Linked DNA regions of Daphnia pulex. The protein of the gene in region 1 purifies or fractionates together with the protein of each later gene. This does not show direct contact. Links are inferred from orthologs where the notes say so. Each region holds a gene or a part of one and is shown on either strand. Other genes may lie near its edges.

What was found.
Region 2: the proteins of kinesin-like protein KIF13A (region 1) and disks large 1 tumor suppressor protein-like purify together in Drosophila melanogaster (affinity purification with western blotting; 3 studies listed by BioGRID). This does not show direct contact. The link is inferred for Daphnia pulex from reciprocal best matches to the Drosophila melanogaster genes Khc-73 and dlg1.

Annotation. Positions count from the first base shown.
Region 1 is NC_060019.1:7,992,782-7,996,600, forward strand, and holds part of kinesin-like protein KIF13A, read left to right. Parts: coding exon 1-184; intron 185-260; coding exon 261-470; intron 471-532; coding exon 533-736; intron 737-1,378; coding exon 1,379-1,627; intron 1,628-1,694; coding exon 1,695-2,027; intron 2,028-2,092; coding exon 2,093-2,648; intron 2,649-2,717; coding exon 2,718-2,863; intron 2,864-2,929; coding exon 2,930-3,073; intron 3,074-3,138; coding exon 3,139-3,391; intron 3,392-3,463; coding exon 3,464-3,573; intron 3,574-3,638; coding exon 3,639-3,819.
Region 2 is NC_060025.1:308,274-312,092, forward strand, and holds part of disks large 1 tumor suppressor protein-like, read left to right. Parts: exon of another isoform or gene 1-651; coding exon of another isoform or gene 652-669; intron 670-837; exon of another isoform or gene 838-1,374; coding exon of another isoform or gene 1,375-1,431; intron 1,432-1,955; coding exon 1,956-1,997; intron 1,998-2,070; coding exon 2,071-2,352; intron 2,353-2,425; coding exon 2,426-2,647; intron 2,648-2,715; coding exon 2,716-2,953; intron 2,954-3,040; coding exon 3,041-3,137; intron 3,138-3,819. UniProt on the Drosophila melanogaster protein: During embryonic development, some isoforms are essential for proper neuronal differentiation and organization. Required for cell polarity; maintenance of apicobasal polarity.

The DNA.
Region 1 (3,819 bases):
TGGTCTTGCCCAGCTGGCCGTAACATCTTATCAAGACATTGAAGTGCTTATGGGCGAAGGAAACAAGTCTAGGACTGTAGCCGCAACCAATATGAACAGCGAATCGTCTCGCTCTCATGCCGTTTTCAACGTCATCCTTACTCAAATATTTACTGATCCGTTTAGTGACGTCACCGGAGAAAAGGTTCATTCGAATTTTTAACTTTATAGCACCAAACTTTTTGGATTAACGTTGCTAACCGTTCTACGAAAAATCAAAGGTCAGTAAAATGTCCCTGGTCGATTTGGCTGGATCTGAACGCGTCTCCAAGACGGGAGCAGTCGGCGACAGATTGAAAGAGGGATCGAACATCAATAAATCACTTACAACTTTGGGTTTAGTCATATCCAAATTGGCCGATCAAGCCACCTTAAAGAACAAAGACAAATTTGTACCCTACCGAGATTCTGTGCTAACATGGCTTCTAAAGGTATGTTTAAAATCGCATTTAAAGTTGAATTCATTTTCATGTGTTGACGACGTGTTTTTTAGGACAACTTGGGTGGCAACAGTAGAACAGTCATGGTAGCTACTATATCTCCAGCTTCAGACAACTACGAGGAAACTTTGTCAACCTTACGTTATGCCGACAGAGCTAAACGTATTGTTTGCCACGCAGTTGTTAACGAAGATCCCAACGGCCGCATCATCAGAGAACTGAGAGAAGAATTAGAGTTCCTCAAAGAACAACTGAAGGTAATCAATATCATTCTCTTTTTTTTCCCCTTCAAACGTATGGATACCTCTCGAAGTGTGTCTCTCTATACCTCGTGTTCTCTTTCTTTAAGCCTCTCAAGTCCGTTGTGATGGTACGTCGAACGCGCCTTCAGCAGAGGCATTGTTTATTAGGGGTTAAGGAGGCTAGAGAAAGCCTAGGAAATGCGAACATGGGATGAAATCTTTGGTTTAGGACCCTTTTCAAGTCCCTTAAGAACCAGGGTTATAAATATAAACCTATACACAATACTCCATTAGCTAGTTTGGGGATACCCTAATCCTTGACTTCTTCTTTTCCGTGCCAAGTGTGGGAATGCCCAGATAATTTTTCTCATCTTCAATAAAGTCATGCCAGGATATAGACAGACATTTCTGTCTTGCGGGTGGTCTTATGGCACAGCTGTGAGATGTGGCATTCTATTGTTACGTAGACTTTACGTGCCCTTTGAGAGTAGCATTATAGTCTTTGGTCTGATCCCGAGTTATTTCCGCTCTAGAGAAGAACTATTAAAGAGGCGTGTTTAGTGTGGGCGCAATGTTTTCCGTGAACACTTCCAACCCTGACTGGAAATCAAGTAGTGAAACGTGTAATTCTAATACTGTATTTGTTCTTATTGTTAGCATGCCGTCTACCGAGACGATCTCAGCGAGCAACTCCATCAGTCGGAAAAATTGATGAGCGCCATGTCGGAAACGTGGGAGGAGAAACTGGTCAAAACAGAACGCGTCCACCACGACCGGCAGCAGGCCCTTGAAAAAATGGGCATTTCGGTTCAAGCCTCAGGCATTCAAGTGGAAAAGAATAAATTCTATCTGGTGAACTTGAACGCCGACCCATCACTTAATGAACTATTAGTCTACTATTTAAAGGTAACCCATTCTGTCCGTCAGCTGGCATTTGTTCCGTCTGTGTACCGTTTATTTGTTCTTTATTTAGGATCGTACTCTTGTGGGACGGCAAGACGCAGACACTCAGCCTGATATCCAGTTGTCGGGACTAGGCATCCAGACTGAGCACTGCCAGTTGTTGATCGAGAATGGGCAATTGTTTATGGAACCATTGGGAGTGGCACCATGCTTCCTAAATGGATCTCCGGTTATAGCTCGAGTACTACTTCGTCACGGCGATCGTCTTTTATGGGGGAACAACCATTTCTTTCGGGTTAACTGTCCACGTCCTAGTCCAACTAGTGAGGAACAAGTTCAACCTGATTTCAATTTTGCACGCGAAGAGCTGGTATTGAAAGAAATGTCCAATGACCCCATTCAAGTAAGCTGCATTAAAAAATATTGTTGAATGGCTGGCAGCTTATTAATCCGTTCTTTTCCCGTTAGAATGCAATTGCCCGTTTGGAGAAGCAGCACGAAGAAGACAAACAACGAGCCCTACAGCGCCAACGACAGGAATACGAACGACACTTTCACCAACTCCGCACTTCACTTCTCTCTCCGATGTCGCCTTCTTCATCTTTTTCGTCGCTCGATCTCAGCAATCGATCTCTGCGTAGCGGAATGGGATCAGGAACGCCCCGTTCAGAACGGTGGGCCCAAGAGAAAGATGAAATATTTCGCCGAAGTTTGGCGCAGCTCAGAGAGGACATTGTCCGTGCTAATTCCCTCGCTCGCGAAGCCAATGTCTTGGCCGAAGAACTCGGCAAACAGACGCGCTTCAGTGTGACCCTCCAAATTCCACCTGCCAATCTAAGTCCAAATCGTAAGCGAATAGGACTGGTGAGCGAGCCTGCGATTCACGTCAGGCGGACGGGAAAACCCAATCAAATCTGGTCATTAGATAAATTAGACGTCAAATTAGTGGACATGAGAGATCTCTACAACGAATTCAAAAATGTGGATCCACTCAACAGAAGAGAAAACCCTTTCCTATCTCCAGGTATCTTAGGACCCGATTCTATGTAAATAATTTTGTGCCATTCTAAAATAAAATTCTTTTATTTAACAGGTTCGGATCCATTTTATGAGCTGCAAGAGAGCCATAGTTTAATAGGTGTTGCTAATATCTACATGGATGTTCTGTTCCATGATGTCCGATTGAATTACTATGTTCCTATTATATCTCAGCAAGGAGAAGTGGCTGGCAAGCTGCAGGTATCACACAGATTTTTTTTTTTAATAATTAAACTCTCGTTTGTTCATCGCTTTAATGTTACTTAGGTGGAATTGAGCAGAATCGCTGGGCAGTTTCCTACCGATCACATGTGTGAATCGGACTCTGGCGAGAATTGGGACGAGCAAGATGAAGATGCTTCATCCAATGGCCATTGTACTGCGATCACATGTCGTGTTAGCATTCATCAGGTGAGCAATCCTGACAATTGTCTTTTATTCTTCATCCCGCTAATTTTTGTAATTTTTATTTATAGGTCTGCGGATTGCCGGCATCCTTATCGCATTTTGTTTTCTGCCAGTATAATATGTTCGGTCAAGCAGAAGCTGTAGTGGTACCGACAGTGATAAGTAACGAGGATGAGGATCGTCGAAATCAAAACGATGTTCGCATTCGCTTTGATCACGTCAAAGATTTTACTGTGCCATTAACCGAGGAGTTCATGGATCTGTGCAGTGAAGGGGCGCTGTCAATTGAGGTTTGGGGCCATCGAAGCGGTGGTTTTACAGGTATTTTTAGTGTGCTATTTCAATTGTACTTTTTGGCGTTTTCCATTTAATTTTTTGTATTTCTTTTTGAAGCAGGGAAAACCGCATGGGAAGTGGAGCAGCAGCAGCTAGCAAAAGTGAGATCTTTAGCGGATAAATGGCGTGAAGTTTCACGACGAATTGAATTATGGGTGGAAATTCAGGTATTCATTTAATTGGCAACTCGTTTCTTGTCGAGTCTCTAACGTTGTGACGTCACATCCAATAGGAATTGAGTGACTCCGGTGAATACGTTCCAGTTGAGGTCATCCACCGAGACTGCCTTTCCGGGGGTGTCTATCAGCTCCGCCAAGGACAGCAACGAAGAGTTTGCATACGTGTCCGTCCTGTACGTGATTCCGGCACGTTACCGTTGGTCTGTGAAACAGTAACGTGTGTCGAAATAGGAA
Region 2 (3,819 bases), on another chromosome or scaffold:
TTTTCCTCCTCCTCCTCCGCAGCATATTGGAAGTTTTTAGGCTTTTTCTTTAGACATTTCTTCCCCCCATTCTTGTTAGTGGCCATCAGTCCGAGTGAGAAGGCAGTGGCGATTGGATCATTTTTTCTTATTTGTTGGGGGTTCACAACTTGTTATAATAATAATATTTGATTATTTTGGTTTCTATGGAAAATGGTTCGAGTGTGCCAATGACAGTAGCAGTAGTTGGAAGGCTGTCAAAGTAGTATAGCGAGAGAGAAAATTCAGTTGTGTATACCGAACGCGTCGAGTTTGGCTTTTTCAGATCCGGCTAGTGACGTTGTGTGTGTTTCTTTTTTTTCATTTTTTGTTTCCCAATTTGTTGGGATCTTTTTTTTATTTATTTGTGACGAGCTTTTTGGGTTGTTGTACTGTGTGCTCCTGCCGGATGGTTTATATTTGCCACTGCTGCTGCTGGTCGGCGTGTGAGCTGTGTGTGTCTGGAGCTTATTTTACTGTGCACCGGTGCAAGTGATCAGTTGCAGGCGAGTTTTCGCAGCCGACGCTCGCGCCATTTTTTCCCCCCGTTTCTCCATCGAAACTCTTGATGCTTCCAAACGCCGGTTTTTGAATTCAATATAACACCTCGATATAAATTACCAGCCATCTAGGATGAAAACACGACGGAAGGTAAAATCTTCAATCAATCTACGAAATCAATCCCCCCGAATTAAGTCTTGCGTTTTTATTAAGAACCTTGGCTGTTTTCTATTTTGTTTTTAATTGTGTCTGCGCGCATCATCAAGACGAATTTAGCGATAGATTTGGCAATGCTGTGTTGACGTCACCTACCAATAGCAGACGAGTTCCATGTTCCACACCCATTCTTTTATATTTTCTAGTCTCCCCCCCGCCAAAAAAGAAAAAGAAAAAAAGAAAAACTCGCCCACGGTGTGTGTCTGTTGTGTAGTTTTTCGGTATCTATTGAAAAAGGAAAAAAAAATAAAAAAACTTCCATAAGAGAGCAGCACACGGCAGTACAGGTGTCCAGACCGGAAAAGGGCCACCCCATGCAATTAGATAACACACACACAGTTTGCTTGGTGGATGTTTCGTGTGTTGGCAGCTCCCAAAAAAAGTTTCTAGTCTCAACTGGTCGGCTTCCAATTTTTCCGTTGGTGGCAGTTTTTAATTTTAAGCCTTGCAAATTTAACTTTTTTTTTAAATAAAAAATTGCGTCATAGTGTTGCGTTAGTGATTTGGAAAGGCGTGACTTTTTTTTTTAATTAAAAAAAACAATAGGAAAAAGTTAAAAATAAAAATTCCGTTTAGTCCGGCCTTGTTTTTTAAATAAATCTATCGACGCCGTCTGTCTGCTGTTGTTCATGTGGCAAGATGGCCAAGAACGATTGGTGGCGAAAGTGGAAATCGACTTGGTCTGTGAACGCTGCCGTAAGTTTTTGTCGTTTCCTTTCTCCTGTTTTTCATGTTCGGGTATTTTCCCTATCGGATGCCGTTAAAAATGAAAACCACAGACTTTCGTATCCCCTCCCCCTCCCTATGTCGTGTGTGGGAAATTTCGGTCGGCGTCCGTTGGTTAGTTTCGTGATTACCTCTATCTCCCCCCACCCTCATCAACATTTCACGGCATTGTTTCCTGGCCAAACAGAAAATGTTTACCTTGCACTCTGTCAATATTGGATTCTAAATGATTGGAGAGGAAAGTCACAGTTGAGAAACAGTCGCTCTCCAACTTGACTGTAAACACTTGTGTGCCAGTTCTCCTAACGGTCCTGTGACAGTTAATTTTATCAGCTGAATAACGTGTGGCAAACAGTTGGGGGTTTGTGACCCTCCTTCGCAGTGCATTTCAACCTGTCACATCATCAACGAAGCAATGCATTTACTTGATTAATAATTATTGAACCACCAAATGTTGTTTTGACTAATGACGAATTTCCTCTTCTCTTTGACAGATTCAATCTCACCTGTCACCCGGATTGGTCGTGGACAAGCATGTGAGTATATAATAACGCGTGGAATATGTCTAAACGATAATATTGAAATTCCTTTTTATTGTGTGACACACAGGCGAACGGAGGCGATGAATCGGCGTGGGATTACGAAGAAATTATTCTCGAGAGAGGCAGCTCTGGTTTGGGATTCAGCATCTCGGGTGGAACTGACAACCCGCACATCGGCGACGATCCAGCCATCTGTTTGACGAAGATCATCCCGGGCGGTGCGGCTGCCATCGACGGCCGCATGAAGATCAACGACGTCATCTTGAAAGTGAACGATGTGTCGGTGGTGAACGTTCCCCATTCAGCTGCAGTCGAAGCGCTCAAAAGGGCCGGCAACCTCGTCCGTTTGGTGAGTCACCCTCTAGAGACCTTCGTCTACGTATTTATTCGTATAACCTTTCTCTTTTTTTGGTTGTCTACAGAGCGTCAGGCGACGCAGACAGCCCCGATCTCCTCGCATCGTCGAAATTGAATTGTGCAAGGGCAACAAAGGACTGGGATTCAGCATCGCGGGCGGCTCGGGAAATCAACATATTCCCGGCGATAATGGAATTTACATTACCAAGATCATGGATGGCGGAGCGGCTCAAGTTGACGGGCGACTCGCTGTCGGCGACAAATTGATTCTCGTCCGGAATTTACCCGTACGTACCGTCACAAAATAAAACAATAACAGTGGCCGAACTAAAAATCAACCTTTTGTTCTATACAGTTGATGACGGAGAAAAATTTAGAAAACGTTTCGCACGAGGACGCCGTTTCGGCGCTCAAGTGCACGTCAGATCGCGTCGTATTGGTCGTGGCCAAGACGGATGCGCCTCTAGCGCCGATGCAAGTCGTCGGACAGCCCCCTACTACTCTCCTGCAACAAACGCCTCTACTCTCACAGTCGGCCGTCAATCTAACGACTCACCACTCGCATCAGCCTCCGTCTCCTAATCCAGGACTCGGTAAGTTATTCTAAAAATTTTAGTTTGGTCGAGTGTGTGTGTCTGATCGGAATACTGATTGTGGCCGACATCTTTTTATTTTGGCAGCGCCTCTTGACGTCAGCGGTGCCTACGATCCGATCGAAATTCCTGGTGCACTTCAAGTTTCGACTCCGCGGGCCGTTAGCGAAGAAGACATTGCCAGGTAGGCGAAATGCTGTACAATGTCGTAGAAACTATTACAATATCCGAAAAAGTAAAGGCGAAATTGGGGTCAGGCGGTCAGTGTCGACGAAGAGAACGGGTAATCACGTGATGTGGCCATTTTTATTTTCCAGGCAGGGTATAGTAGAGTGTGCGTGCAGTCTCGCGTTTGTTGTTCCCACGTGCAGTGTTAGCCAGTAACGAGCAGCAGCAGCAGCAGCAGCCGCCATTATATATTTAGAAGTCGCAGCAGGAAGGGTGTGGTGTGTGTGTGTGTAAACGTGCAGCAATCTGTTGGTGCCCCTCAGTCGGTGATGAGTCGCGTCCAGCGGCAGTTGGGATATACTAACACACACACAATTTTCTCGTTGAAATAAATAAGGGAGGGGTGTTTGTATGTATGTGTGTGTGACGTCACAGCAACGGCCACCCAATAACACGATCGGATTTTTGTGTGCGCGCCTGGCGTCGTTGCTCGGAAAAGTGTCGTGCAGCTGTCGATCGTTCGACAGACGGACGTGTTGTTAACCCTCTGAATTACTACAGTGTAGACCAAGTGCCCAATGGCCAAGAGCAACAAGAGTCTTGACGATTCGGCCAAGAAATCGGGGAAAAAGAAGAAAACGATTCGCTCCTCCGACTTGGTTCAGTGAGAATAAAAACCCAAATTTTTTAACGTATTT